4 linked regions of the Mytilus edulis genome follow. The protein of the gene in region 3 purifies or fractionates together with the protein of the main gene of each other region. This does not show direct contact. Links are inferred from orthologs where the notes say so. Each region holds a gene or a part of one and is shown on either strand. Other genes may lie near its edges.

What was found.
Region 1: the proteins of calnexin-like (region 3) and protein-L-histidine N-pros-methyltransferase-like purify together in Homo sapiens (co-immunoprecipitation; 3 studies listed by BioGRID and IntAct, with this or other methods). This does not show direct contact. The link is inferred for Mytilus edulis from reciprocal best matches to the Homo sapiens genes CANX and METTL9.
Region 2: the proteins of calnexin-like (region 3) and WW domain-containing oxidoreductase-like purify together in Homo sapiens (affinity purification with mass spectrometry; 3 studies listed by BioGRID and IntAct, with this or other methods). This does not show direct contact. The link is inferred for Mytilus edulis from reciprocal best matches to the Homo sapiens genes CANX and WWOX.
Region 4: the proteins of calnexin-like (region 3) and ER membrane protein complex subunit 1-like purify together in Homo sapiens (affinity purification with mass spectrometry; 4 studies listed by BioGRID and IntAct, with this or other methods). This does not show direct contact. The link is inferred for Mytilus edulis from reciprocal best matches to the Homo sapiens genes CANX and EMC1.

The regions. Positions count from the first base shown.
Region 1 is NC_092348.1:52,998,933-53,006,177, forward strand, and holds the start of protein-L-histidine N-pros-methyltransferase-like, read left to right. Parts: upstream 1-4,242; 5' UTR 4,243-4,405; coding exon 4,406-4,585; intron 4,586-6,017; coding exon 6,018-6,208; intron 6,209-6,773; coding exon 6,774-6,874; intron 6,875-7,245. UniProt on the Homo sapiens protein: Protein-histidine N-methyltransferase that specifically catalyzes 1-methylhistidine (pros-methylhistidine) methylation of target proteins.
Region 2 is NC_092348.1:28,720,389-28,727,542, reverse strand, and holds the start of WW domain-containing oxidoreductase-like, read left to right. Parts: upstream 1-4,138; 5' UTR 4,139-4,245; exon of another isoform or gene 4,246-4,258; intron 4,259-7,154. UniProt on the Homo sapiens protein: Putative oxidoreductase. Acts as a tumor suppressor and plays a role in apoptosis. Required for normal bone development. May function synergistically with p53/TP53 to control genotoxic stress-induced cell death.
Region 3 is NC_092351.1:90,147,074-90,154,384, forward strand, and holds the start of calnexin-like, read right to left. Parts: upstream 3,008-7,311; 5' UTR 2,917-3,007; intron 1-2,916. UniProt on the Homo sapiens protein: Calcium-binding protein that interacts with newly synthesized monoglucosylated glycoproteins in the endoplasmic reticulum. It may act in assisting protein assembly and/or in the retention within the ER of unassembled protein subunits.
Region 4 is NC_092356.1:55,262,977-55,270,256, reverse strand, and holds the start of ER membrane protein complex subunit 1-like, read left to right. Parts: upstream 1-4,274; 5' UTR 4,275-4,309; coding exon 4,310-4,407; intron 4,408-7,280. Other genes in the region: C-type lectin domain family 4 member E-like, read right to left, coding at 21-63. UniProt on the Homo sapiens protein: Part of the endoplasmic reticulum membrane protein complex (EMC) that enables the energy-independent insertion into endoplasmic reticulum membranes of newly synthesized membrane proteins.

The sequences.
Region 1 (7,245 bases), on a different chromosome or scaffold from region 3:
AAATCACAATTACTAGTGCCGTGTTTAGTTGTTATTGTTGATGGAAAGACAAATACACAACAATTTACAAATGGATTTCTTAAATGAATAATAATCACATGAATCAGACCATATTTGATTTAGGGATAGCGTTTTCTTAGACTGTTTAATTATATCATATTTTCAAAATAAGACTTAATTGGGGAATTTTATACAACGCATTATCGGCGTAATTTGGAATTTCAACTCAATCTATCTTAATAATTGTGAATTTTTGTGGTGAATACCATATGATAATAGCTTCAGTGGTTCGCCTAATTGGTAAAAATCGAATGAAATAGATAAATTTATTTTCGTTAATTGTCTCATTTCTCCTACATTAATGTTGCATTTTCTGTGGAATTCCAGAACAACATAAATGAAATGCTCCCTGTTAATTCGCAATCAGAGTCCAACAAGGTAGACTAACGAAGTAAACTATTGTTTTTAATGAAAAATGATGTAATTTACGCCCTCCCTAAAAAACATTGGCCGAGTTTTAGATGGCCAGGGGATGTCGTTATGCAAAGCTTGAAACAAAAGTCATAAAATGATGGAAATGAAGGGATTATTCAAAAGCAAAACAGATCATTCGTAAATGAAAGATCCGTAATTACGGGAACCTTTGTCATCTGATTAATTACCATCGCTTCCCCGGGGATGACAATCATAGCTTTTCTTAATGTATAGTGATGTGAAATTAAGCCTTCGATTGATGGGGCCAAATCAAATCGTAATTATAGATAGTCTTGCATACAAAAATTATCTATATCAAATTCAATTTTAAAATGTTGCATTGGTATTGCGATTTAAGCCATAATTGACGGTTCCTGATCTCTACTTGCACAACGAACCATTTTTCAACCTTAATTGATCATTAATAGGTAATTCTGTATTGTACTGTGTGTCTTCCTAAATATACAAAATTTGATAAAGATGTGGCGTAATACAATTGCAATAGTTCTGTTTCAATCTTTAATCCTCGTGTGGGCAACTAAGATCTGATTTTTAATCAATCACTGTATACAGTCTGGATATAATATATAATGTAAGAAAGTTGATTGTGCTGAAATAAAAAAGAATACACATTCGATAAATATTAGAATAGCACTCTTTAAATAAGGTACCCAGATGCTTACATGTGATATAAAAAATCAACAAAAAAGGAAGTTTTAACATGAGTTTGTCTACAAAGCATTACGTATATACAACAGTTTGTCTTAGAAAGCAACTGATGCAAGGGGCTAAAGGAGAGGATGTATGTTGTAATGATAAGATGCGACTGGTTTATCTAGGAATTCTAAAAAAAAAAAAACTTTTATCAGACATACTTCAATCTCTTTTTCGGTTATGGCGGTTTCCGTGCTCTCTTACTCGCGTGTTTTTCTATTTTTCTCACCATGGAAGTATTATATTGATCATTGTATTGAAATGTCGCACGATACTAGTGTCATCTAACGTACACGAAGTAGTATTGGTGTCTTTCTCCGTCTTGGGTTGTAAATAACAGAGATACTAAGGTCAAGATTTCCAATCAAGTTAGCAAAATTTGATGCAGGAACGCACATAACTAATGTGAATTTTCCTTTAAAAGAACAAATTGTTAAGATGTTAACTTATAACTATTAGTATATTTATCGAGCCTGCGCCTTTTGTCGCAGAAAGCTCGGCATAGGGACAGTGCTCCGGCGGCGGCGTTGTTAGATCACTTTTAAAAGTTCTTAAACGCTTGATATTTTAGAAAGTGGAAAACTTGGATGCTTCATACTTTGTATATGGATGCCTTAAGTTACGAACTTTCTGTCTGTCACATGTCCATTTGCCTTGACCTCATTTTCATGGTTCAGTGACTACTTGAAAAAAAGTTTTTTTAATGTTGATTTCTCTCTTATTATGAGTAGTAGGAAAACTATATTTGGTATGTGTTTATATACCTTGCAAGGTCCTCATGCCCGCCACACAGTTTTCAACCTCGATCTCATTTCATGGATCAGTGAACAAGATTAAGTTTTGGTGGTCAAGTCCATATCTCAGATGATATATAAAGCATATTTATAGTATATTTGGTGTATGGAAGGATTGTAAAGGGTGTACATTTCCAACTGGAATGTGCCATCTGACCTTGGCCTCATTTTCATGGTTCAGTGGTTATAGTTAAGTTTTTGTATTTTGATCTAGCTTTTTTTACTACTATAATATATGCAATTATAGGTCTACTGTATTTGGTGTATGGAATAATTGTAAGGTGTACATTTGATTTTCCAACTGGCAGGTATCAACCTTGACATCATTTTCATGGTTCATTGGTAAAAGTTAAGTTTTTGAGTTTTGATCTTTTTTACTAATACTATAAGCAATAGGTCAACTATATTTGGTGTATGGACATATTCTATGATGAACATGTCAGTCTCGCAGTTTTATTTGATCTTTTTTATTTCATTTTCACGGTTCATTGCATAGTGTTAAGATTATGTGTCTGTTTTTCTTAAACTATAAGCAATAGTTCAACTATATTTTTTGCTTGATTTTTAATGTTTTAAAATTTGCATTTTAAAGGGAGGTGACTCTGAAACAGTGCATTTCACGGTTGAAGGAATCTTGTTGAAATTTTGCTATTTCATATTTTAGCAAGAAAAAACGTACGGTGACCCTATTTTTTCTTTTGATAATCTCAAAGCATGTTATAAAAAATATCTTCTCGTATTTTATTTTACAATCAGTCTATCATTTAATTTATCTTCTAATCACATTAATGCTTTTTCACTGTATAATCCATACAAAACTTGTCATTTTGTCCCAACCTGTAGCTTCAGAAAATGCTCGGTGACCTATCATTTTATTATATTTTTAAACATATCACCATGCATACTATGTTGTGGCAAGGTATGAACAAATTCTATCATTTTTGGGATAGGATTGCTGTCAGGTAATCTGTAGACTTTTGCCATTGACTCCTTTCCAAGGCTCTTGCGTCAACCGTGTTGTGCTTTACTTTAGGAACAACTCAGATTTTTAGAATTGTCCTGTTATAAAAGCAAAAACAAACAAATTAGAGATTGGGTTTCAACAACGGGCCCTATACGATAAAAATCAATCATAACATATATATTTTGTTCCCCTGTACTTGTCTATATAACCTGGGAACAGTTGACATGTATGTTCCTGCTATAACTTTATATTCCTTTCAGTGTTTAAGACTGTGGCAATGTGAACTAGCTAAGTTACTAACGACACATTCAAGTTGAATTTATTTACGTAACTCATTAAAATTATAGGTTGAAGATTGTTGAAGAGTAGAGGTAAAAAGCGCAAATGTCTGGTCAATCTGGGAACAGTATATTTATCCCGGGGGTTGCTTCCTATATTTTTAGTGGTATGGGTGTGCAGCAAAACAGGGTCCCTTTTCCATGGCCTGCTGGTTAGAACAGGGTCCCTTTTTTGTGTCCTGCTGGTAAGACTGTGACAGGGTCGCATTTTCATGCCGGCCTGCAGCGCTGTTGAGAACAGGGTCTTTTTAAACAAAGTATTTGTCTAGTACAGGATCGCTTATTTAACTGTTTGAGATACAGTCTAGAACCATCTATTTCACACGGTCTAGAACAGGGTAGGCTATACTGAGCGTGTTTAGAACAAGGTATGTTTTTCAATGTTTTCTGGTTAGAACAGGGTAGGATTTTGCATGTGCTGTCGGCACAGCAGTGGCGGATTCAGCCATTTAAAAAAAGGGGGGGTTCCCAACAAAGAGTAAAGGGGGGTTCCAACTATATGCTCCCATTCAAATGCATTGATCGGCCAAAAAAAGGGGGGTTACAACCCCCGGAATCCCCCCCCCCCCCCTGGATCCGCCACTGCACAGTTATACCATCGAAAGGCCAGTCAGTAACACCCCCTCCCCCGTATATTTATCTACAAATCCTTGAAAAAATAATGTGATGTGAAAAAAACAGAATTACCAATCCTACATGTCCTAGATAAGAACTGGTAACACATATATGTTTCTTTATAACAACTAGGCTGAAAATTTTGCCAAGTATAGCGCTGGAAAGACTATATAATATATCTGATAATATCTTCATTAGTCTTTTTCTCGGCCGTTATTGAAATTCTTGACAATATTTGTATTTTCCGAAGGCATATACTGAATGTTATACGGAGGGGACCAACATCTTCATATGCTGAGTTTTCATTTGAAATTTGCCGCTGCAAAACTTCTAAAAAAGGGAGAATACACATTTCGTTTAAACCGGAAGATGTGTTTTACACAGCTCAGTCAGTTATTGTTTTGATTCAGACAATTTTACTGATCTAGACTTTAAAAGAATATGTAAAACGATAACGTAGAGAAAGACATATATAAAAATTCAGTAATATATGTCCATAATATTTCATGAACTTATCCATTTATCTGGGATGTGTATTCATAGAACTGTTGACAGCAGTTAATATCAGGATGAGCCAAGCAGCTGATCAAATCCCCGGAATTGGTCATATTCGCAGTCCATTGCTACGTTCAGTTTACAATAAAATGAGAGAGGATGAAAAACAAAAGAATAATCCCCATGATGACGTATGTTTTATTAGCAATAGCTAGCATGGCTAGATCCATATGTAAAAAAAAAATGTTATGGGGAGATGTACAAATTCTCAGATCTGCAGTGACATCACAACATGTAACTGACCAATCAATGATTAGCATTTTTGTTATGTAAACAATGTTGAGAGGTGATGCGGATGAGAATCCTCTAGATTTTCCATAGACTTCAATGCAAATTAATTTAATTGATATATATTGACACCAGTTGAATCTAGTAATTTTACCCACTTAATATTGTTAAAGACACTATATAATATCTCCATTTTGATTTTTATCATACTATATCCTCTGGTTAAAAAATAATCAGCAATATAAATAATCAGATATCACCTTCAAATAGATGAAAAATCTAGAGGAATCCTATCTGCATCACCCCTTGAAAAATTTAAATGCCAGGATGTCCGGATCTGAGAATAATAAAATGCCAGAATTAAAACTGTTTTTAAAATACAATGTTCATTATTCTAGAGGATTGATTAGCTTCAAAAGACTTTTTCAAAATGAAGTATATGTATGTTGAATGATAAACTTTAAAAAATAGTTTATACAATGTACAGTACCTGGCCAAAAGTATTGCATTTTTGTTTATATATATATATTTCATATAAAAACAATTTTTCAAAAAAATATTTTGAGGGCATTTATGGTTGGATTTTTATGAACAAGGCTTTAAAAGAAGTAGAATTGTTTGTTTGTTTATTTGGTGATAGTTTTGTCTTCGGGTGTTATTGTTTTCTCTTGATGTGAACACATACAATAAATTTTTATAATTTAATTTGGTTGAATATACAGCGAATTTCTGAACAGAAAATAATATTTGTATTTATCTTGTGAAAAAATGAAAATGATCCACAAAAAATATAACCAAATAAACAAATAAGCATGTGACAATTCTGCTTCTATTGGTTAAAATCAAACCAAAAATGACCTCAAAATATTTTTTGAAAAAATGTACTTTTATATACAATATACAATGTATAGCGAAAAATCTAAAGTGATGAATACTTATAGCCACACTCTGTACTTGTTTTATGATTTTCAAAAATTGACAAATGACCATACAGGTACAATGTTCTTTACATGAACATTTGTTTGATACTAATTTTCATGGGTTTCATGGTTACAGGTGAACTGCGAAATCAAATGTTCAATGAATAACAAATTTCTAATAGGCTTTGTATGCAGAGATTTGCAAAACCACCAAATCAAATATCCACGAAAATGTAAGTTTTCCTTAATCCACGAAAAATTGATACCTCAAAAAAATAAATGAAACCACTGTAAGCCAAGAACTGAATCATTCAGAATCTACATTTGTAGATGTGACATCAACTCAGAATCAAAAAAAGTAACTCCAGTATAAAATAAACATGATTTATTGAAGTTGATTTTTTTTCTTTCAAAGTGGTATACAGTTGACCTGTCCAAAGTTCCAGAAGAGATTTGTGCAAAGTTTTTACAGTTTAACCAGGATGAAGAAACAAGCCAGTTCCTAAACCAATGTTATGAAAAATCTGATTGGTTATTTACTCAGCTAGGTCATTCCATCTGTAAATCTGTACTTGGTTGGTTTATGTCAAGCACCTCGATTAATGGGTAATGCTCTCTAATAAAGCACTGTGTATACAAAGTCTTGAAATAGCATGCAAAGGTATTTAGGAGGTTTAGATAAACATAAACCATTATTAATTGGTCGAACAGGGAGAAACAAATATTTTACAAACGCTTTAGCTATTAGAAAGTATCGAAGCACACATAAAGATTTCCCCTGACCTGCCAAAATGAGCCAAAATAAGTACCATGTGAAAATACTCCACTATACAGTTATAGAAAATGTGGTATGAGTGCCAATAAGACAACTCTCCATCCTAGTCACAATTTGTAAAAGTAAACCGTTATAGCTCACAGAGCCTCACTACGAAGAGCAAGCTATAAAGGCCACAAAAGTGACTACCGGTAGTGTAAAACTATTTAAAAAGGAAAACCAACAAACAACAATACTACAGAAAAGGCATTTTAATTTATAGATTACATGTATATAGAGTATCCACCCTATTAAAACACTTGTTTTTTTTTTTTTTAAAGTAAAAGCTTTTCATTTTAAAGAGCTTTTATACTAAGGTGTTTTTTAATTAAGAGTATACATTTTTTTTTTCGTTAGATTATTAAAAAGAGGATCAATGTTTGTATTTTCCAAAGATCAGCTTAGACAGATGTTACATGTAGCACCAGACAGGAAAGGAAATAGGTTACTAGATCTTGGTAAGAGAAAAGTAAAAGGACTACTGTAAATCAACTTATTTTTGCAGATACTTTATTTCACGTTTTACGCTTTCTAATCCAATTTGCGGCTATTTATATTTGTGATTTTCTAATTTCCTTGATGTAGTTTAATGAGGAAAGAAACAAGTTTAACATATTTATGATGATTTATATAAGCGCTACTCGTGAAAGTCACAAAAAAATAAATCGCTCCCAAAAATAAGTTGGTTTACAGTATTCCCATTTAACTAAAAATGAAGCAGTGAAAAATAAAAGTATTATGCTTGTTTAGATAAAGGGAAATGTGGTATATATACAATAGTGAGAGGAACCCAACAACACAAAACTCAGACATCTTGAGGTCAACATTA
Region 2 (7,154 bases), on a different chromosome or scaffold from region 3:
ACACAGGCCTACGAACCTCTTCATTATTCTATCAGCTATAGTTTGAACTTATGACAGCTCGTTCAACATCTTTTTTGAAATTCTAACTATTTTCATATACATCAATTGATACTGGGAGTTTATTTAAGATCATTTAAAATACTTACATATCAATTACTTCTTGTTATTTTCATTCGGTAATTTAGTATGCGACTTTGTTTTATATTTCTGGCTTTCCAAATTTTGATCTCGAACGTACCTATAAGTAATGAAGATTAATTAAAAAGAAGCTACTATAAATATGTTATCATCTGGATGAAAACTCAAAATCTTGCCGGCGGTCATAGCATTCATCGGACTTAAAATCAAAGATAGCATATATATATATATATATAGTGTCTAAAAATAGCAACAATCAACATTCAATCTATCTAGGTGTGGATCAGTTTGTAAATATATATATGTATATATATATATGGCAGTGGCTATTTGACCGGCACCGGCAAAATAGCAAATTTGCTATTTAGCCGGCTCTGATTAAATTCTATTTCACTGGAATTAAAATTTAAGAATAATAATTAAATATCAAATTTTATTTTAAAAACTTTTGTTACTGTTGCTCATATAAACACTTAAACTTCTTATCTTAAAAAAATAAGAAACTACGTTGCTTACACATACACAAAATTGACAAAAATGATGAAAGAATAGAATAGAAGTAATAAGATATATTAAAAAGTGAAATACAAATATGATAATAGTCACTTTGTAGCTATATATACTACATTCCAGAACTAGTATACTCTTTTTATTTACGGAACCAGCATTGTGATTGTGTTGCCGATGCAATGACAGAATGGTCTTTCAGTACCATGAGAAGACTTGAGAAATACAATTATAATCAAGCAATAATCTGGCTAGTCTTTTGAACATAAACTGTAAAAAAAAAATCATCTGACACATTTTATTTCAGTATAAGAAAGAAAAGGAAATGGTCCTTGATTTTATAATTATATTTGAGAATTAAAAGTTGAAAAAAGACTAAAACATAGAGAAATTATTTTTTTCCTCAAATTTATTTATCAAATATTTAGTTTCAAAAGTGGATTTTTAACTGCTGAAAATATGATTATTGTGAGGTCATGTTAAGTCCCAGGAAATTGCCAGAATGCAGGACTTTCCCCTATTAACACCTTAGTAGCTTCTGGGGACCTTGAGTGGCCCCAAGACCCCTCGCCATGCATATGACTTACCCCCGGCTTTGAGTACACATCATTTTGGCCACATGATGTAGATTCAAAGGAAGCCAGTGTAATGTGTAGTTCCTGTTTGGAGTGGCAAAATTTTTTCTTGAGCTAGACTTAAACAACTTCCAAAGGCAAAGAATTGGTTTTATAACAATTGCCAATATTAATTCATGTGTCCAATTAAAATTCATAGCAAACAAGTTAACTATTAATATTGTCTGTCATGTCTGTTTTATGATGTAGTTTTGCATAACAATTGTGTTATCACTGGCAGGATATTTAAACCGTAGATTTTACACAGATTTGAAAATCAACTTTTTTATAAATATTTTAGAAAAAAATATTTTTAATAATGTATTTACAATTGTGTTTTCATGCTTTAAATTAATCATTATAAAGTTATAAATTATTTGTTTAAGAACATCTTCAATATGTTATTTTTGATTGTACTGTATTTTTAATGCTTGATATTGTGATAAAATTATTTTAAATTATTATAAATCTTTTTTTTTCTACTAATCACATCAATGAACAGTATTATTCAGTGCCGGCTAAATAGCAAATTTGCTATTTTGCCGGTGCCGGTCAAATAGCAAATTTGCTATTTTGCCGATGCCGGTCAAATAGCAACTGCCAGATATGCCTATATATATATAGAGACAGAAAGAGATACAGTTCAGCCAGTCACATACACAGGCACTTGTCTCAGAAAGAAAAAAAACTTAATATACTTTGATATGACAATAAGTTTCTGAAGTTTTAGTTTGTTTTTTGCATTTTTTTTTTCGCTGTGTCTTGTCCCCCCCCTTTGCATATTGTGAAGATGTGTCTTGACTGTCGAACATACAACTCTCTACCAGCGACCAAATGACGATAATGTAAACAACTATATAGATAGTCACCTTACAGCCTTCAGTAATATACATTTCCCAAATTGTATAGTAAACTATGCAAGGGCGTAGCTTACGTTGAGGCAACCGAGGCAACTGCCTCAGTAAAAAAAAAAGAAAAAAAATATTTTCCTTCACTGTATTTTCTTTTAAATGGTTATTGCAGCAAACTGGCTACTAAACAATAATGTAGCAACTTGATATGTCTTGTTGGCACGGTTATTGATTCATACCCTTTACGAATTATTCAAGACTTATGGGAACATTTGAATTAATTTTCCCTCCTCTACTTGGAAATACCCTTTACGGTAGTTTTCTGTAATTCAAGTTTGTCAGAGTAAAAGGAAATCGACAACAGATTTATTTTGTCCTACCCCATTGCAAGCGAAAACAGTGAGTAGAATAGATGAGGATGCAACTCACGAGTCTCCCGATCAAATCACTTTACCATTGAATTAGGTCAATTAGTTAATTTTGTGTCAGAATAATTTCTAGTACATTGTATATGAGGGCCTGGGTGAGGTTTTAAGAAAACAGAAATATCGGCTCTGAAATTAATTTAAATTTGAAAGAATATGGATTTAAAACGGAGCTAAATTATAAAATAAAGGAAAATCAAATTATGGGCGACAATGATTAAAAAATGAATACTTGATAATCACATTCTAAGCATTCAAACCCTCATTTATAAGTGTTGACATGTTCCCCTACGACTATGTTCATTGACTTTGGTACTAAACAAAACAAAATATGCATTTACATTTATACATTATAGGGCACAGAAAATAATTTATAAGATGGGGTTCACAAGTTTTATTCTCGCTATTTTAAATTCATAGTACGTTTTCACAAGCAGGGAATTTAAAATATTTAAAGGAATCACTAATTCCAGAGAAATATGTCTGTTAGTTAATACATAATGTCAGTTTATATAAAAAAAAAATCAACCAAATACTGTTCATTTATAATGAAGACTTCAGAATAAAGTAAATGTTAGTTATTTGCCGGTTGTCATGTTCATCGTGAATGGGAAAAAAAGTTTAAAATCATTCAATATGTAATTTCAAGACCTTCGAAGGAATACACCACTAAAACAAGTGCCTTGCTGCACTTTACATGTAGCATATGTTTTTGTCCTTGTTTATCCTGAAATTTGTTTGTTCAATCCAGCATTAATTTTGTGGTGATTATCTATAATTCGTTGATTCGTATAGGGCCCTCATTACTGGTCAATGATGATCAATGATGAAGTATTGTCCTCGACCACTTTATATATAGATATATATTTCAGGGAAGATAACATAGAAACGATCTTTACTTAATTTTTTTTTTGAAGAGAAACAGACTTTGTGAATTATTGGTCGACTTATTTCGAGTTGATTTTAGGCGATTTAATTTCAACAATTTTATTTTAAAAAAGAAACACAAATTTCATCCGAAAAGAGACAATATACCACCCGATTGACCTTTTTCTGGAGAATTTCAATGTAGAAACCTATTCAATGCAGAAAACCTATTTTATTAAATGCTGGAGACCCCATTTCACCGAATGCGACATAAACAATATTCTTCTCAGTTTCATAACGGGTGTCAACAGTGGAGCAGGGCTGATCATGATTATTCTACAGTTAAGTAATATTACGTTTATATGACTTTTAGTGAAATTTTCATTTAACTTTCAATACAAATCCAATCACGATTAAGTAATCAGGCGAGATATATGAGCGTGTGCTTCTTTTTTTTTTTTTAATTACTAATATTTTTATCTTGATTTCGTAACCGACTAATCGAACGCAAATCAATCGTGGACCGTCTCAAGATAGATTTTAAGAAGGGTCGTCTTATATTTTTTTTGCATTGAAGTGACATGTAGTATTTAAAGAAAAGGTCTATATCTAAATAAATTTGATAAAAAGTCATTAAAGATCCTGAAAATTTTGAAAATGTGGCACAAAATAGTGGATATTCCTAATCCAGATTACTTTTTCCGAGTTCGATTTCTAAAATAGTATTCTCGTTTCCGGTAATATTCTTAGCACCTATTTTGTGAACCCTATTTTGTTTTTACATTTATTTCTTAACTGGCATTCTGGCACACTGATTGATTACGCTGACAGTATATCGACAAAGTATGTAGATCGGGTCAGGATGCCGGTCTTATTTATTTCTTTTCATACGCAATAAGAATTATTTAATGTTAAAGTTAAATGTATTCAATTTCAGAAAATTTGGTTGATTATATCAGGTTGGGAACAAACCCCCCCTGTATGGTGATTATACCTGTACAGAGGGATAATCCTTCTTTAGAGGGATAAAATTATCCCTCTATAGAGGGGTATTTTTGTTTGCATTGGATTTAAAGCAAATTAGGGCAGAATGGCATTTTCTAGATATATTGGCTATAATCTCTAGCATTATATGCATCAACATATGCATGTTAATTGGACATGCTTTGATACTATATATGCCCTTGAATTTTTACTAGATAACATTTTTGTTCGCTTTGGAGATTCCGTATATCGTCAGATTATCGGAATTCCAATGGGGACTAACTGTGCACCACTTATTGCGGACCTGTTTTTGTATTGTTATGAGTTACAATTTATGACATAAATAAGCAAAGACCCATCGAAACAACATCTGATAAACAAATTTAATAATACTTTTAGATATTTGGATGATATTTTGGCTCTCAATAATGACGACTTCAGTATGTATATTAATGAAATTTATCCTGTTGAACTTACTTTAAATAAAGCTAATACTAACAATGACCACTGCCCTTTTCTTGATCTTGATATCTATATCACTAATGGAAAGCTGAATACTAAAATTTATGATAAAAGGGATGATTTTTCATTTCCTATCGTTAATTATCCGTTTTTAGATGGTGACGTTCCCTTGTCACCATCTTACGGTGTTTATATATCTCAACTTGTACGATTCGCTCGTGTATGTAACAATGTTTTCGATTTTAACGAGAGAAATTTATGTATTACTGAAAAATTATTACACCAGGGTTTTCGATATCACAAACTAGTCAAAACATTTACTAAATTTTATCATCGGTATAAAGACATCATTCGTAAATATAGCTCAACATGCAGACTTCTAATACGTTCAGGTATTTCACATCCAATTTTTTATGGTAATATTCTTTATAAAGCACAAAGGTGTCAGTATTCACCTCAGAAACTTACAAAACCTTTGAATAGACTTATTAACATGATTAAGAAGGGATATAATTACGATACTGTTGTCAAGTCATTAAAGATTGCATATTTTGGCGTTAATATTGAGTCACTGATAAGGTCTTTGCATCGGAACTAAACCCATTTATTATTAAATACAGTTGTTGGCATGACACGGGTTATGTTCTTCTCATATATGTTATGATGGTATGATACTAAACCCCTAACGGGAAGGATTGTGCCTGATGTTCATATGATGAAATCATAATCTTTCAGTCAGTTTAATTGAAGTCTGGAGCTGGCATGTCAGTTAACTGCTAGTAGTCTGTTGTTATTTATGTATTATTGTCATTTTGTTTATTTTCTTTGGTTACATCTTCTGACATCAGACTCGGATTTCTCTTGAACTGAATTTTAATGTGCGTATTGTTATGCGTTTACTTTACTACATTGGTTAGAGGTATAGGGGGAGGGTTGAGATCTCACAAACATGTTTAACCCCGCCGCATTTTTGCGCCTGTCCCAAGTCAGGAGCCTCTGGCCTTTGTTAGTCTTGTATTATTTTAATTTTAGTTTCTTGTGTACAATTTGGAAATTAGTATGGCGTTCATTATCACTGGACTAGTATATATTTGTTTAGGGGCCAGCTGAAGGACGCCTCCGGGTGCGGGAATTTCTCGCTACATTGAAGACCTGTTGGTGACCCTCTGCTGTTGTTGTTTTTTATTTGGTCGGGTTGTTGTCTCTTTGACACATTCCCCATTTCCATTCTCAATTTTATACTTTACTCACAACTGGGATAACCAGTTTTCTGCTAAAGTTACAAAACTTGAAATCTATTGTATACCTATCTGAACACCTGATCAACAACAAAAGGAATAGTTGACCTTTAAATTTCATGTTAAATCAAACAATAGAAATTCTGTTCAGTGAGGCATAAGTGAGTAGAATTTACCTGATCATCACAGCTTTCAATCATGGTGAACAATAGATTTTATATTTAGTCAGATAAGCATCAAACTGGGCATGTGCATATTAAATTAAGTACATCAATTGGTGCATCAACTGTTCCAGGTTACTGCCATAATAAGTAGAGAATGCCATTCTGCCCTAATTTGATTTAAATCCAGTCTAAACAAAAAAAAACTTCTATAGAGGGATAATTTTACCCTCTATAGAAGGATTATCCCTCTATACAGGTATAATCACCATAAAGAGGGTTTGTTCCCAACCTGTATATAGGAAATCTCTGTAACATGACTGGAGCGGGCCCACCTTAGGTCAGTCAGTAGGCCCCCCTTATGAAAAGTTCTTGATCCGCCACTGGCACCAGTCATAGTACAGCCTACAGGGTCCATTGAAGCACAGACCAAGGAAAGACCTAGGACTTGTATGGACATTAATAATTTTTTTGATTGTATTTTGGCCATATTTGTTTTATTTCTTGCTATTGAGCACAGGCACTTGTCTCAGATTTTTTTTCTGGTGAGTTGTGTGTTTCCAATGCATCGTCAGTGGACTAAATAATTAAGATTGACATACTTGGATAGGATTGCTACGGATAATTCCGACAACAAGAGTAGGCGTGTTATACACCATTCACTTGAAGATGAATCAATTTTGATTTACGACATAACAAGTTTTAGTTGTGTTGACAGCTGAGAAATCGGCATATAACGAAATTTCGGCACCAGCTGACATTTTCCTAAATCACAAGTAAAGTACCTTATGTTATATAAAGGTGTATAGGGATTTTTTTTCTGAGACGAGTGCCTGTGCTATTGAGCTGCAATCCTATTTTAATTTTCACAGCTGCATCAGTATTGTATTGATTTAGATCAAGTAAG
Region 3 (7,311 bases):
AATTGCACATGAGGTGTTCCCTCTACCGCTCTCCATGTACACGACGTCACCGTTGTTGTGACGTTAGCTTTTCAGAGTTCAATACAAGTATCATTGCAAGCAGACGTTCTTATTTACTAAGCCTTAATTTGTGTCCGAAACAACCACTCTACGATAAACATGATGAAATTAACATTGAGTATATAGGAAAGGGTTTGGTAGTACAGACACCTACAGCGTAAAAAAACTGTGCCACTTCACATGTTTTACTGTTTTACGTTCGTTAAACATTGTTAAATCAGAAGATAAAAACAGAGAACATTGAATATCGATTAACTGTGTCTCTTATACGCTTTCTTTTAATCTTATTCACAGCTACTTTTAAACGCAAAGACGACAAACATTAAGTTTTGTACGATGACGGAGCGGACCCAAAAAAATTCTGAAAAAAAAAAATTCTCCAAAAAAACGTCAAAAAAGAATTTGAGTCGGCGGGTTTATTTTGGGTTGGTCGCGTTTGGGCAAACATACAATCTTTTTATTTTGGCCTGGTTTCTCTTGGTCCCAAACTGTCCATTATTGCATTAAACATGGAGGTGATTGGTTTCCTTGCCTAACAGTCTTGTTACCTAATATAAACAAAAGCAACAATGATTTTGATCAGAAAGGCTGGTTTCCAAGGCAAGAATAGTAGCCGAAACTGTAGAACACTACCTTTTACATTGTTCTAACTATGAGGAGGCTAGAGAGAGGATGAGAACATCTATTTACTTTATTACAGGAAATATACACATGGATTTAGACACCGTATTAGGAATCGATGAAGAAGACATTAATAGAGACAATCGAAATGAGATATTGTGCCATCTGGAAAATTATTTAACGGAGTCTGGTAGATTCAAAAACACTATACAGCAAAAAACACTATAAATCTATATCAAAATTAAGTCAAAATTTTTTAAGCAGCAGCCACCATTTCAATCTAGCAGGGCTCACGCTACCAGGCGACTTGGGCGAAGAAGTCGCCTTCCCGACCGTCACTTCGCTTTCCTCGACCCCCAAAAGCGAAAACAAGTCGCCCTGTTCTTGACGACAGTCGCTTTCAGTCGCTTCCGTCATCGGACATTTTCAATTTTTACCAAGTTGATGAAACATCAAATTTTTATTGATAATTAAAAAATTTCAGACATAAACGATTCATTATCTTTTGAAAAGAGTTTGAAGCATTGTCTTCGCAGTGGGTAGCAGGTTATTTGATAAAAATACAACTTTTTATCACTTCGTGCATTTCTGCGAGTACCGGTGCTTGTTACTCGAAAACGTACATCAACCTCAATTTCTGCGGCAAAATAAGTTTGTTACTTCATTTAAACGTGATAAAAGTTGCCTCCAGTAAATTTTAATCCATTTATTGCATTAAAAACGTCATGTTTCTTTCCAAATAACTTGTCAAACATCGTTTATTTTTGTAAATTTTCTTGCATTCGGCCGCCATTGACCGATTTCTAATCTACGGATCTGAACCGGACCAGCTATGACCGAAATCCGTACTTTTACAATAATTACTACGGACACACGGATGGAACAGCTGACAGAAGAATATTGATCCCAAAGGGAAAAATTACGCATTCCACACGCATTAAGAGACTTTTGGTTACATCTAATTGATTGGTGTATATAATTCCTTATATTTTTTATGGATTGTTTCAAACTATTGATTAAAGTTACTTAACTCTGAGACTATTATACTAATATCAATATATTATGGCCCAGCTTAATAACTTTTATATTTTTTTTATGAGAAACACTGAATGTCATACACAAGATAATTTTTAATTAAATTGTAATTGATATATTATAATTTCTTTACATTTTTTTAAATATTTTTTATTTTTTTAGTGCTAGATATTTAGTTGGTAGTTTCTCACAAGCTTAAACTACTTTTAATTTCAAATGTTACTTTAATTGTAATTTTTTTACTCAGATATGAATTGAACAGTATAAAAAGAACATTATTTACATATATGGCCCTTTATACTATTGTAAAATCCAAACATTGTATCGCACAGCGCGAATGAGCACTTCTCTTTCTAATCTCACCACTTCTCCCTATCAGTTTCAAAAAGAGAAGTCACTTCTCCCTATAATTCTGAAGTAGTGTGAGCCCTGTAGTACATGAGTGAACATTACATATGTGAAGAAACTACAAAAGAGGAAACGTACACAAGTGTTTACAGTGTCATTTGGGACACTTACTAAAGACTAAAGACTAAAGAAGCCATTTGGTATGGCTGGTTTCCAAGAATAAAGACTGACGGTTAACGGTCTTCATACTCTCATATAGGTGAATACAGCATTTAGATACCAACCAATAAACAGTTTGATATCTTTTATTTTTCATTAATTAGCTAGACCGAATTCGGTCTATTAATTAGCCAGTTAGCCACCCCCTTTTTCAGTTTTATCATTACTCTTTCAATAGACAATATATGCTGTATGTAAGATATGAAGCTAATATCTTATCCTTGGTCAAGACTTCTGTAGTCTTCAAGGTAACCCTTGCAGCAACCTTATACTTGCAATTCGCTCAGTCACTAAAATAGAGATTTTTTTTATGCAATTATGGGACATAGTTTTTGCAGTTTCTATTGGGCTGTAAAAAAATCATTCAGGCCAAATAAAAATAAGCAAGACTGAGCTTTAGTAAATGTGTTAAAGTTTTAATACTGACTAGGGACTAATGTTACTGGATCATATGATCTGAAAAATCAGGCATGTCATGATTATTCGTCCTCCCCCTTTTTTCGGTTTAATCGTTTCTTTACAAATAATGAAGGTTTTGGGCATTTTCCAAGTGAGCTGGTGTTTCAAACAGAAGTGATCGTGGGAATTAAGTATCAAAGTATTTCAAATTTGAATCATAATAAGACATTTTACCAGTAATTCTGGTGTTCCAAGTTAAAAGCGTTCCAAATCCCTCACGCCGGTCAACAGATGAAGTTCATAAACGTGGAGATGTTTGATTGGTTATGGAAATTATATCAAGGAAATTTGTAACGACATTTTTGATTGGCTACTATATACTTTAAAAGTTAAAAAGCGCGTTTTTTTAAATTGCATTTGAATTGAATACTAGAACCTCAGACTAGAATCCGTAGATTTTTAAAATTAGTTATTAACAGCAACAGACATATATTGTCTTACCCCAGGAAAAGATTACATTCTAGACCTTCTAGTCGTATTTGGCACAATTTTTTGGAATTTTTGGTCCTCATGCAATGCTCTTCAACTTCGTATATATATGAGGCCCCTCATGGGGGGGTCCTAGGAATCACATAATCACCATTTTTTTGCCAATATAATCACATAATCATTAAATATTTGCTTATCTTTAGTAATCAAATAATCATAAACTAAAAATACAGTCCTAGGTAATCAAATAATCATGAAATATTTGGCTTAATAATCAAATAATCATTAAAAAAACGGCCAAGTAATCACATAATCAAAAACCCCATGAGGGCCCTCATATATGGTATTCAAGTTGTTTGACCTTATAACTATTTTGATGTGAGCGTCACTGATGAGTCTTATCAGGGATTTTCTATACTATTTCTTAGTATAGAAAGTCCCTGGTCTTATGAAGACGAAACGCGCGTCTGGCATCACGATTAAATTATAATGTTGGTACCTTTGATAACTTTCAAATATCAAGTTTTAAAACATTTCTATACTTGTGGCTAATTTGCAATTATTATCTTTGAACTTCTCCTTATTGCCAGATTTTTGGATAAATACTGCGCCGCTAATGTATAAATTAAACTACTTGAATTATACTAACTAATAGTAAATATATGAAAAGTTAAAAAGAGATTGTCTAAAGATTGAAAATTATTGCATTTTAACTGAATTTCAGCAAAAGACTTATTTTTATTATCAACGTATAGTGAGCATTCAGCCAAAAAAGGGTGTAATGCATTATAAACATTTTTTATTAAAGTGTTCTATTCAAATCTATTCACGCTGGGAACAGTATATCTAATATATATGTTCCTGATTCACGGCACAATTTTTTTACATATATAATCTCTGATCAGTCTCAAATTACAATCCAAGTAAATATTTGTATGACTACCATGAGCGCTAATTCTTATCTTACAGATTAATTGCCTTAATCTAAAATCTTTTAGGTTAATTTATGTTTCAAAACAAAATAGAGTTTTAAAGAGTTTTGAAAATGCTGGATTTCAGGTTTCGAGCATGATTTTTGTGCTCCGAGCACTGACCAAAGTTTTATGACTTCAAGGCCTGGGCTTCATAAAAATGAAGCTTTCGGTGGCCGGGTGTTACCTTTCCACGTCAGTTTTAATCTAGCGTCGTGCTACAGTACATGATATATAAGACATGGAGATGTTATTTTTACAGATCAGCTAAATTATCTATAGTATAGTATATATATATATATATATATATATATATATATATAAAATGACTGAATAAATAGTCAACGATTAATCTTACAGGGCGATGGAACATGTAATACGATTCTGTACACTACAAAATATGATATATAACAAGTCAAAAAGGGTACAACATCACCATTAAATAACTATAAAATGAACAAATATTAAATATTTCGGATAACAGATATCCTTCTTCGGTAATAGCACGATGTCAAATGAATCATGTCATGATATATTCAAATTGAGACACTCAGAATCTTGAAAGTTTATACAATTTAAGCGGAAACCACAGACGCTGGTGCATCTCAAATGACGACTTACGGGTAGGTCGGGCTTGCAAGTGTAGTCACTGCGATGACCATTCATGCGTTTGTTGAATGGCTGCTCTGTCTCGCCAACATACTGCATGCCACATCGACACTGAAAGAGGTATACAACATAATAATAAAGTCATTTCAAAATGTAGTGTACACAGACCCAGTCGAGTGGCAAGTAAATGTTTGAGTATTTAGTATTTGTTGACAATTAAGTCATATATATTTAGGACTCGGAACTCCGCGTAAGTTTTACGGATGCCATCAGAACTGAGATGGTTGACAGTATATGTATGGTATATACCTCTCACAGATCTATGAAACCGACAGCGGATATATGTTCCTAATGTCGTAGCTACACCCCGTCCAATTTTCCAGAATGTGACATACCGAATTAGACTTATAACAACGTGTGTACTAACATAATCAACATGACGGGTGCCACATGTGGAGCAGGATCTGCTTACCGGCTTCCAGAGCACCTATGATTATCTCTTTATATAGATAAAGGCAGATGTGGTGTGAGTGCCAATGAGACAACCTGTTGGGGTTCGTGTTGCTCAGTCTTTAATTTCTATGTTGTGTTTAGTGTACTATTGTCTGTCAGTTTGTCTTTTTTTCTTTTTTAGCCATGCATTGCGTTGTCAGTTTATTTTCGACTTATGAGTTTGAATGTCCCTCTGGTATCTTCGACTCTATTTTACGCTAGTGTAGACAGACCCGTTGTAGCACCAGTCCTCTTCCAATATTCACATTGGATATTTTTTAACTGGCATGAAATGTTTACTGTATACCAACAAAGGCAATTGTCCCAGATTTGTTTTCTATATACCTGAATATAACATGTTATTTTTTGTTCAATAATTTTTTTCTCTAGAAGATGAAAAGCTACTCACGCGTCAGTGTAATATAAGTTATTTTTCCCCTAGAAGATGAACAGCTATTGACGTCAGTTTCTGTCATATAAGATTTTTTAGAAGACGAAAAGCTATTGACGTCAGTGTATGTCAAATAAGTTTTTGTAATTTTTGTAAAAAAAATTATAAAGCTATCGACGTCAGTGTATGCCATATACAATGTTCTAGAAGACGAAGAGCTGTGGACGTCAGTGTCTGTAAAATCAGTATTTATTCTTGAAGATAAAATGATAATGACGTCCGTGGTTGTCAAATACGTTTTTTCTAGAAGATGAAAAGCTATTGACCAGTGGCGGATCTAGGTGGGGGCCCACTGACTGCCTAAGACGGGACCCGCTCCGGTCACGCTTCAGTGATTCCCTATATGATCACCCCCCCCCCCCCCCCCCAAATCCGCCTCTGTTGACGTCAGTGCAAGGGCTGATCAAGCCATTTTAAAAAGGGGGTCCAACTATATGTCCCCATTCAAATGCATTGATCGTCCAAAGAAGGGGGTTCCAACCTCCGGAACCCTCCCCTGAATCCGCCACTGAGTGATTATCATATAAGTTATTTTAGAAGATGAAAAGCCATAGTTGTACAAGAATAAAAACTGGTTGACGTTGTCAGTGTATGTCAAATACTGTTATGTATAGAAGACAAAAAGCTAGTTACATAAGTGTCCGTAAAAAAGGTATGTATAGATGCTAAAACTCATCAGCCTTCGTCGAATAAGGTTAACTTTTTGTAAAATAAAAAAAGCTATAGTGACATCAGTGTTCGTCAAATATTTATTTTTTGTAGAAAGTGTTTTTCATTTTTTTTTTGTTGAAGATTAAAAGCTATTGATGTCAACTGTGTCCGTCAAATAAGTTATCTAGAAGACGAATCAAAAGCTATAGTGACTGACGTCAGTGTCCGTTAAATTTTTTTTTTTATAGAAGGGTTTTTCATTAATTTTTTTTGTAGAATAGGACAAGCTATTATAATTGATATCAGCTATGTCCGTCATATAAGATTTTCTAGAAGATAAAAAGCTGTGGACGTCAGTGTCTGTCAAATAAGCTTTTTCTCTTCTAGAACATGAAAAGCTATATATATATATTGGCGTCATTTTTTTATCAAATAATTTTTCTAGTATACTGACCGGCTTTAGAAACGCAACACTAGATTATTCTTTTCAATTTTCATTTTTAATTATGCATTTTTTTGTAAACAAACTTATGAATAGAAAGTTCTGTCATTACTTAAATGTTTGAAAAAAAAAATGCAGTTCGAAAGTTGAATTGATTACGTCATTTTCGATGTTCAAATATTGTGTTATACACTGAAACCCTGATTTTCCCTATACCAATGAACGTGTCACCGTCAAAAGCAATGACTGCCTGTAACAAACGCCAAAATGATTGTCAGAAAGGTCAGCCATTTCTGTTCGGCACGTTTTGGTTTCTGTTTTGCACCTTCTGATTTTGCCGTTGTTCCACCCATTACAATGGGTTTTGTCAATTATGCGGTTTAACCTTTAAGGCTCTAAATGTTTTTCTGCAGTCGATTCTTTGCCAGTTCAGTTAATGGGAAACATTTATGGCAATAATCTGTGCAAAATTTCATTCATCAATTTGGTTAGCAGTTGACGTTGCAGCCGTAGATCTGTCTCAC
Region 4 (7,280 bases), on a different chromosome or scaffold from region 3:
CTTAAAAAATCTATACATACCAACAGTCAATACCAAAAATAGAGTAACACATACAGATTTCATGTCAAATCCCGATGTGTCTCTTTACTGTTTTGAATTATCAAGATTTTTATATTTGATTACATAATCTATGGGCCTCTAAGTCTCTGATTAGTTTGACCCTTTTATTTGATCTGCACGGAAATAGAACAGAGATAAGAGACAATATTGATATGTGTTCCATAGTTGTAACATGTGTAAAGAATCTTAAATCGGTCAATAGTTATACGAAGAAAATTGAAAATGGAAATAGGGAATGTGTCAACTGAGAAACAACAACCTGACCATAACAACCGAAATATATAGGAGGGGATATGCATACATTTTTCTGTTTATACCACCTTGGTTATTCTAGGAATGATTTGTTGGAGGAGTCCTTAAGCAAGTGTTTAGTTCAGTGGCGCAGAGGGCGTAGTCACCATTGAATGGGATTACATTTGAATGTTTAAAAATGTATTGCTATCTCCACTCGGTAGTTATTCATCTTTTATCTGAAATTACGCTCCCATTTTGGAACAGCCCCTGCTAGCGGTGGGATAACCGATGAATCGAAAGTATATACAATACTGAACATTTCTTGCGTTTTAGATGGGTCCTAATGTAAAATTGTGTGTGTGAGGTCCCAAAGTTAAGTCAAAACAATTTAGTATACTGCTTGTCGATCTCCATAACCATGCTGAATAAAACACCAATTATAATTGATACATAATTTCAATAATATTTTGTTAATATGTGCAAAAAGGTAGTTGCTAGTATAACCTCTTTGATCTGTGTTAAGTAAGATATTCATGTCAATGCATATCTAATAAAAGGTTGATCCATTTAAAACATTTTAATTATTATATAATTTTGATGTGATTATTTTGTTCAGGTTTGTGAACTTGAAACGTTTCAAAATTTTTATAAGTATATTGTTACATGTAGGAGATAAATTTTATCAAGACAAATCTATCTACAACCTCTTTGCTTTCAGTGTTCTGTTAACTATCTTTACAGTTATTGGAACAAAGATTGTAATAGGACATGCCAATTGATAGGATAATGTTGCATACTTACCATGCTTACCGTAGTTAAGTTTTTCAGTCTCTTCAGAAAATCACAGAGAGGGGCATGCTTAATGTTTTTGGCTAAATCAAAAATATGCCAAAGCCTTATCCCATTTTCTTGGCGACTTTGATATATATTTTAATGATATTAAAGCTCAAACTAGAGGCTCTAAAAAGCATGTTTCGCTCACTGTGGTCTATGTAATGTTACAGTACTTCTCATAAACGTTATAATTATATTTTTATTTTATTTAAAGAGGGTTACACAGTTAGCTATAACTTCAATCTTCCCTCAAGCCCTCATGATATACAATGAAATATTATTAACAAACAATTATAAAATATCAAACAAACACGCATATGAAAAAATGAAATAAAAAATTGTGATGAAAAAATAATACAATTTTCAAACTGACAGGTAAAAATGACAAATTCACATAGCATGTATAGTATTGGCATCATTCAAATTACCGCAAAAATATCTTAAATAAATTTCTTTTCGTTATAAGGCTTAACGAATACCGTTATGCGTAGTAATTTGTACGGGTGGTTCACCAGTGCATACGGGTGGATTCACCCGTGCATACCTAAGCGGGAATTAAATAATTCGACGGTTTGCATTCAATCAGTCTACACGTTTAATTCAATTGCTGTTGAGGTCTGTTCTAGTAACTTTTAATTTTGTTTTTGTAAAAAAATAAAAAATAGGTACTGTCTTTCACACGTATAAGATTATTCTTATAGAATTGTACAATTCGGCAATAGATGCACATGACTGTATACTGTCCAAAGTTACAGTATTTATTCAATTTTCTTTTTTCGTTCATTTACATGTAGTTGTGAATTGTTTCTAATTTTTGTAATTATATTTTGTAGATTGTTCAGGCTGTTGATCATACTTCTAGTGAAGAGAATGTGATAAGGACTGTTTTTTGCGTAACAGCTGCCATTCTAAATTTTTGTTCACATGTTGTTATTAAAATAAATAAATAAAGTTATCCAATTCTTGAACCAATACATGTATATATCATTAACTAAGTGTTCTGTGCACCATTTTATCATTTTTTTACACAAACATATCTTATAATCGTCATTTTGTTTCAGTCTCTCTATCTGTTATTAGGTCCGAGACCGGACCACACATATAGTCCCTAGTGTTGACAGTGGGTTACTTGCCATTAATTTTTATACCCCTTCCAAATTTATTTCTCCATGTTTAATGCCTCAAATTGCAAGTAGGGGAGTGAAATTACTCTGTAAAAAAATTTGGGTCCAGAATTTTAAAGGAAAGTAGTAATTTGGTCCAGCTGAAAAAGATTTAAACTTAGCACTTCAGAAGCTCTCAAATTTAAAGATTTCAAGACGCCCTAAACATAAAATTGTCAATATTTTGAGTTAGAGCCAATGAAGTTTTCTATAATTTTGATATAATTTGTCCCAAAAGTAGTACAACACACTGTAAAAGTTTCTTTGAGAAAGCGCAGGTGGGATTTTTTTTATTTTCATTTATGTTCTAAAAGAAATGCACTAAGAAATAATTGTGGTCTCGGACCCATACATGTAAGTAAAAAACATGGCCTGTCCAGGACAGATTAGAGTAAATTCTAACACCTTAAAGTTTTTCAATTGAATGACGTTTTACCTGGGAGTTTAGTATTAAATAGGCCGAATGAATTGTAGGACGAAATAAGCATAATCGAACAACTCTTTTTCGTAGAGATCGGTCTCACTAATTAGCGACAACAAGAATTTTAGCGACAACAAGCGTCAACAAGCGACAACAAGAATTATTTTAGCGACAACAAGCGACAAGAAACTATTTAGCGACAAGAAAACATTTTTTTTTTAATTATTAAAAGAATATATGCAAAAGAAAATAATTTTAGCGACAAGAAAGTTAAAATTGATAGAAAAAAATGAACATTATTTACATAATATTTTATCATCTATTATGAATAACAGCCAATATTACGTTTAATTATTGTATTATGAGATTACTTTTCCTTGTGTTTTAGAAAATATTATTTATCTTATAATTTGTTTTTTAAAACTCTTTTCGTGCAATATATATTAAGCTCGCAAAATGAATTATTTGTGCATCATTGTCCTGAAAATATTGACACAAATTGTGAAATACAACATGTACAAAACTGAAATCATACAGGAGGAAAAGAAAATTGAAATGTGAATGTTTTCATCTTTTTATTTGTTTATTGCCTCATTAAACGATATTTATCATGTTTATGCATATTGATTGAAGATGAAAGGAAATTAATGACAATCTTGAGTTTTCAACAGGTGTTCATTATTTACAATGATTGTATATTCTGGCGCGTGTAATTGTATAGTCTGACGCGTGTACAAAGTTGAAGGTGTTAATTGGATGTTATTGTAGCAATAAAACAGGGGACACGCGACTCGTTAACCTCATTTGATGTTCCACATGTTTACTTATCAAAATGGGACCACCATGTACTAAATGTATAAATATTATGTTAGATAGGAATGTACATATTACTATATAATGACTAAAAATAATAAAAAAAAAAATAAATGTATGGACCCCAAGGTAGAACCACGTCCTCGTCGTGGGGTCTGGAAACACGCTTAAATAATAAAGATGGCAAAGCGTGGCTGAGAGTTCTATAAATAAAGCATCGAATTGACATAACAAGAGTCTGAGACTACTATAACATAGTAGTCTCAGCAAGAGTACACTTAGAGCATAGTATTAAGCAAATGAATCAAAATATTATATTCCATTATGCCCGCTCCATATATATCTCCATTCGTTTATTCATACTTTGACTTTATATTATACATATTCTTCATATTTAAAAATAAAAAAAAGAAGCTCAATCTCTTTCTTCTTCACAAATATTAAATTTCTTCATCTACCAATATACTAATATAAACTTCACAATCTCTTTCTTCCGCACAAATGTTTCATTTCTTTGTCTGTCTATATAATAAAACATTTTAATTAGACATATCTGCTCGTATATTTAAAAAAAAACATTAAATACAAATTTCTTTATATCTAATAAAAAAAAAATGTTTTCTTGTCGCTAAATAGTCTTTTTGTCGCTTGTTGTCGCTAAAATAATTCTTGTTGTCGCTTCTTGTCGCTTGTTGACGCTTGTTGTCGCTTCTTGACGCTTGTTGTCGCTAATTAGTGAGACCCGTAGAGATACAAAACGTTACCGGTGGCTGAAGGAAAAAAAATGCTTTCGAGTATTGTTAAATTATCGTTTTTCCTCCTAAGCACTGCGATTTTACATGTTTCTGGTCTTTATGAAGATCAAGTTGGAAAATTTGATTGGTAATGTATTTTGTAAAATTGTTCAAAGCCATAAAAAAGTAATATGTGCAACCGTAGAGCAGTTGAAACATTTTGGGGGGAGGGTGTAATATTTGATTAAATCCATTTTTTGTCAGTATAATCAGTTTGTTGGTGGTGGCCTCTGTCTGCTAGAAGCAGTATAGTATGATTTCTCATTTTCCCTTTCAACTCAGCACTATACAATGCTATATGTACATGTGTAATCGGGGAGCATGATTTTCATTACAAAATCACCTGTCTCTTTAGTCCAAATAATTATGACGTCTGACAAGGCTATTTTAATTTTTTTCTGGGACGCCTTCCTACAACAAAATAAAATAGCCTTGCCAGACGTCATAATTATTTGGACTACTGTCTCTTCAGCTGTTCAGTGACCTCTGACAGGCTCTGTTTCACAAGGCAGCTTGTTAACTAACTTAGCTAAAGAAATAGTTTCTTAGCTCAATTGCTTACAGCTGACTAAGTATCTACTATAAGTATCAAGAAAAATAATCCAGACACACTTCCCACACATCAAGAGTCATTATACTACTTTGTATGTTGATGCTTTCAACTATTTATGTCAACACTTCCCTGGCTAGGTAATTCTTTTAACTGTGTGTATTTATTGTTGGGAGAGCATGATTTTCATTGCAAAATTGCTTGTCTCTGTCCTTTGGGACTCTGTATTACAAGGCAGCACATTATTTATGTTATAAGTCATTAAGCAACTGAAAGAAGTACTTTCCTAGCTCAACTGTTTATGGCTGAATAAGTATCAACTATTAGTACCAAAGGAAGTAATCCTGTCACACAGTTTCAGTCATATACTGAACCCAGGGATCTCCTTGGATGAAAATTGAACGATGGAGGAACTTTCACCATTACAAACCGTGTCTACGTTGTACAGTGTAGCGCGATTGGAAGTATTTTATCCCTCCATACAAGGAATGGTGAACATGCTAATTCATTGCTTATTTAACTTATATTTATTTGAATTTATAGAATAAGAAGTATCAATATTTTCTTTTATTGCCGTTTTTAACCATTCAAATGCCAAGTCTTCATGGTCCCCCTTAGTCGAGAATGACCAAAAGCTGTCATGAAGGTCCCCATGTAGATTTCTTGTATTTTTGATAATTGTTATGGGGGTTAAAAATCATATGATGTGGAGCTTATTTTCATGCCAATCATGGACACTGTTTAATTCAAAACCCATTACCGGTATGGCTGATTTGCAGCAACTACAAAACGTACGGGTTATGTAAAAGGTTAAAGAGATTTGTAAAGCAAACGTTGACAAATGAAAAGGTTTTTAATGACTTCATTTGACAAATTGATGCTGTGCAACATGCATCTTTCGAGTCTGAATAGAAACCGGAAACGCGGATGTATCAATTTGATTGTAATATATACGAAATGAATTCGGAATTACGATACGATATTTCTTTACAGGAAATATTTAAGTTTTTACTTTTAAACTTTTAAAGTAATTCTAAATTATAGTTACAGAAGTACTCGAGTTATTTGCGATGAAATAATATTTACAATTTTGCGTCTTATTTTGTACTTCTTAAAAAAGGGGGATGCTGATTGCGTAAGTCAAAATAAAGCACGTGTTCGACTTGTTAAACTGTTTTCTTTGTAACTGGATTATTTTTTTATTTATTTAATCTAAATTATCATAATCATTTGCTGAAACTTAGTTGATTAATTCGACAAATGGATCGTCTATCCTCAGATAGTATTCTCCTATCTGGTTTGTTGATCTACCTGTACAGTGATCGGGAAGGAAGTGCGCCCTGCGCCTATAGCGCATATTGACCAGAAATGGCGCATAGAGTGACAAATGTAAGCGCCCACGTGGCGCACAATATTTTTCACATCGTTTCGAAACGTTTAGATATCGTCAAATGGATTTCCGATCGTGTTCCTTGCCGCCATTTGTGTGTACACAACTGTATAATGTTGCTCCAATCATAGGAGCACCTATATATATTTTTGGGACGTCTCATTGTTTTCCTATGGTAATAGAACCATGCGGTTTAACGTCTCGGGTGTTTTCCTATGGTAATAATAGAACCATGCGGTTAAACTGATAACCCAAAAAACGTAATTAACCATCATTCATGATATAATTTTTTATAAACAACTTTAAATTTGTGAAATTTGGCTATTACAGACGAGATGTAACTCTAATAATAATCTTTAATTTAGTTTAGCTTGCTATTATTTCGATTGAAAACCCCCGAAGCCTTTTTATGAATATAGTTTTTGTCTCCATAAAAAGCGCTTAACTGTCCTTGTCATGTTTTGGTCTTTGGCCAGTTTTGACATTTTGTAAACATGACCAGCGAATTATTGTTTTGTTCTATCAATTAGTGATACTCTCTACTGTTATTTTTGTCATCGTTATAAAGTAATAATATTAATACATGAAGTGCAGAGGAAGTGCCTGAAATGACCTCTAATACGGAACGTCTGGAATAAGTATGGTATCGACGAAGACCCAAATTTATTGTTAAAAAAAAACAACATGAACATGAACAAGCCAAGGCAACAGTACCAGTTTAGACATTGTAAATAAAGGTTATCTTTAATATTGTCTGCTTTGGAAGAAATTATTGTATATTAATTGAAATTACAGAATCACAGGAACAATATCCATGATATTATTTAACAACGTAAAGGTAAGTACCAACACCTCTTTGCCAAAAAATAATGATACTTTTTATTTTTTTACCGAAGTCAATTCAAATGGCCCACTCATTTGACAATATGGCCCATTATTTTTTAAAATGGCCCATTGAATTTATTTTTGAGGGGCCCTGGGCCCATAGTGAAAAAAACCTTCCAGATCACTGCCTGTACAA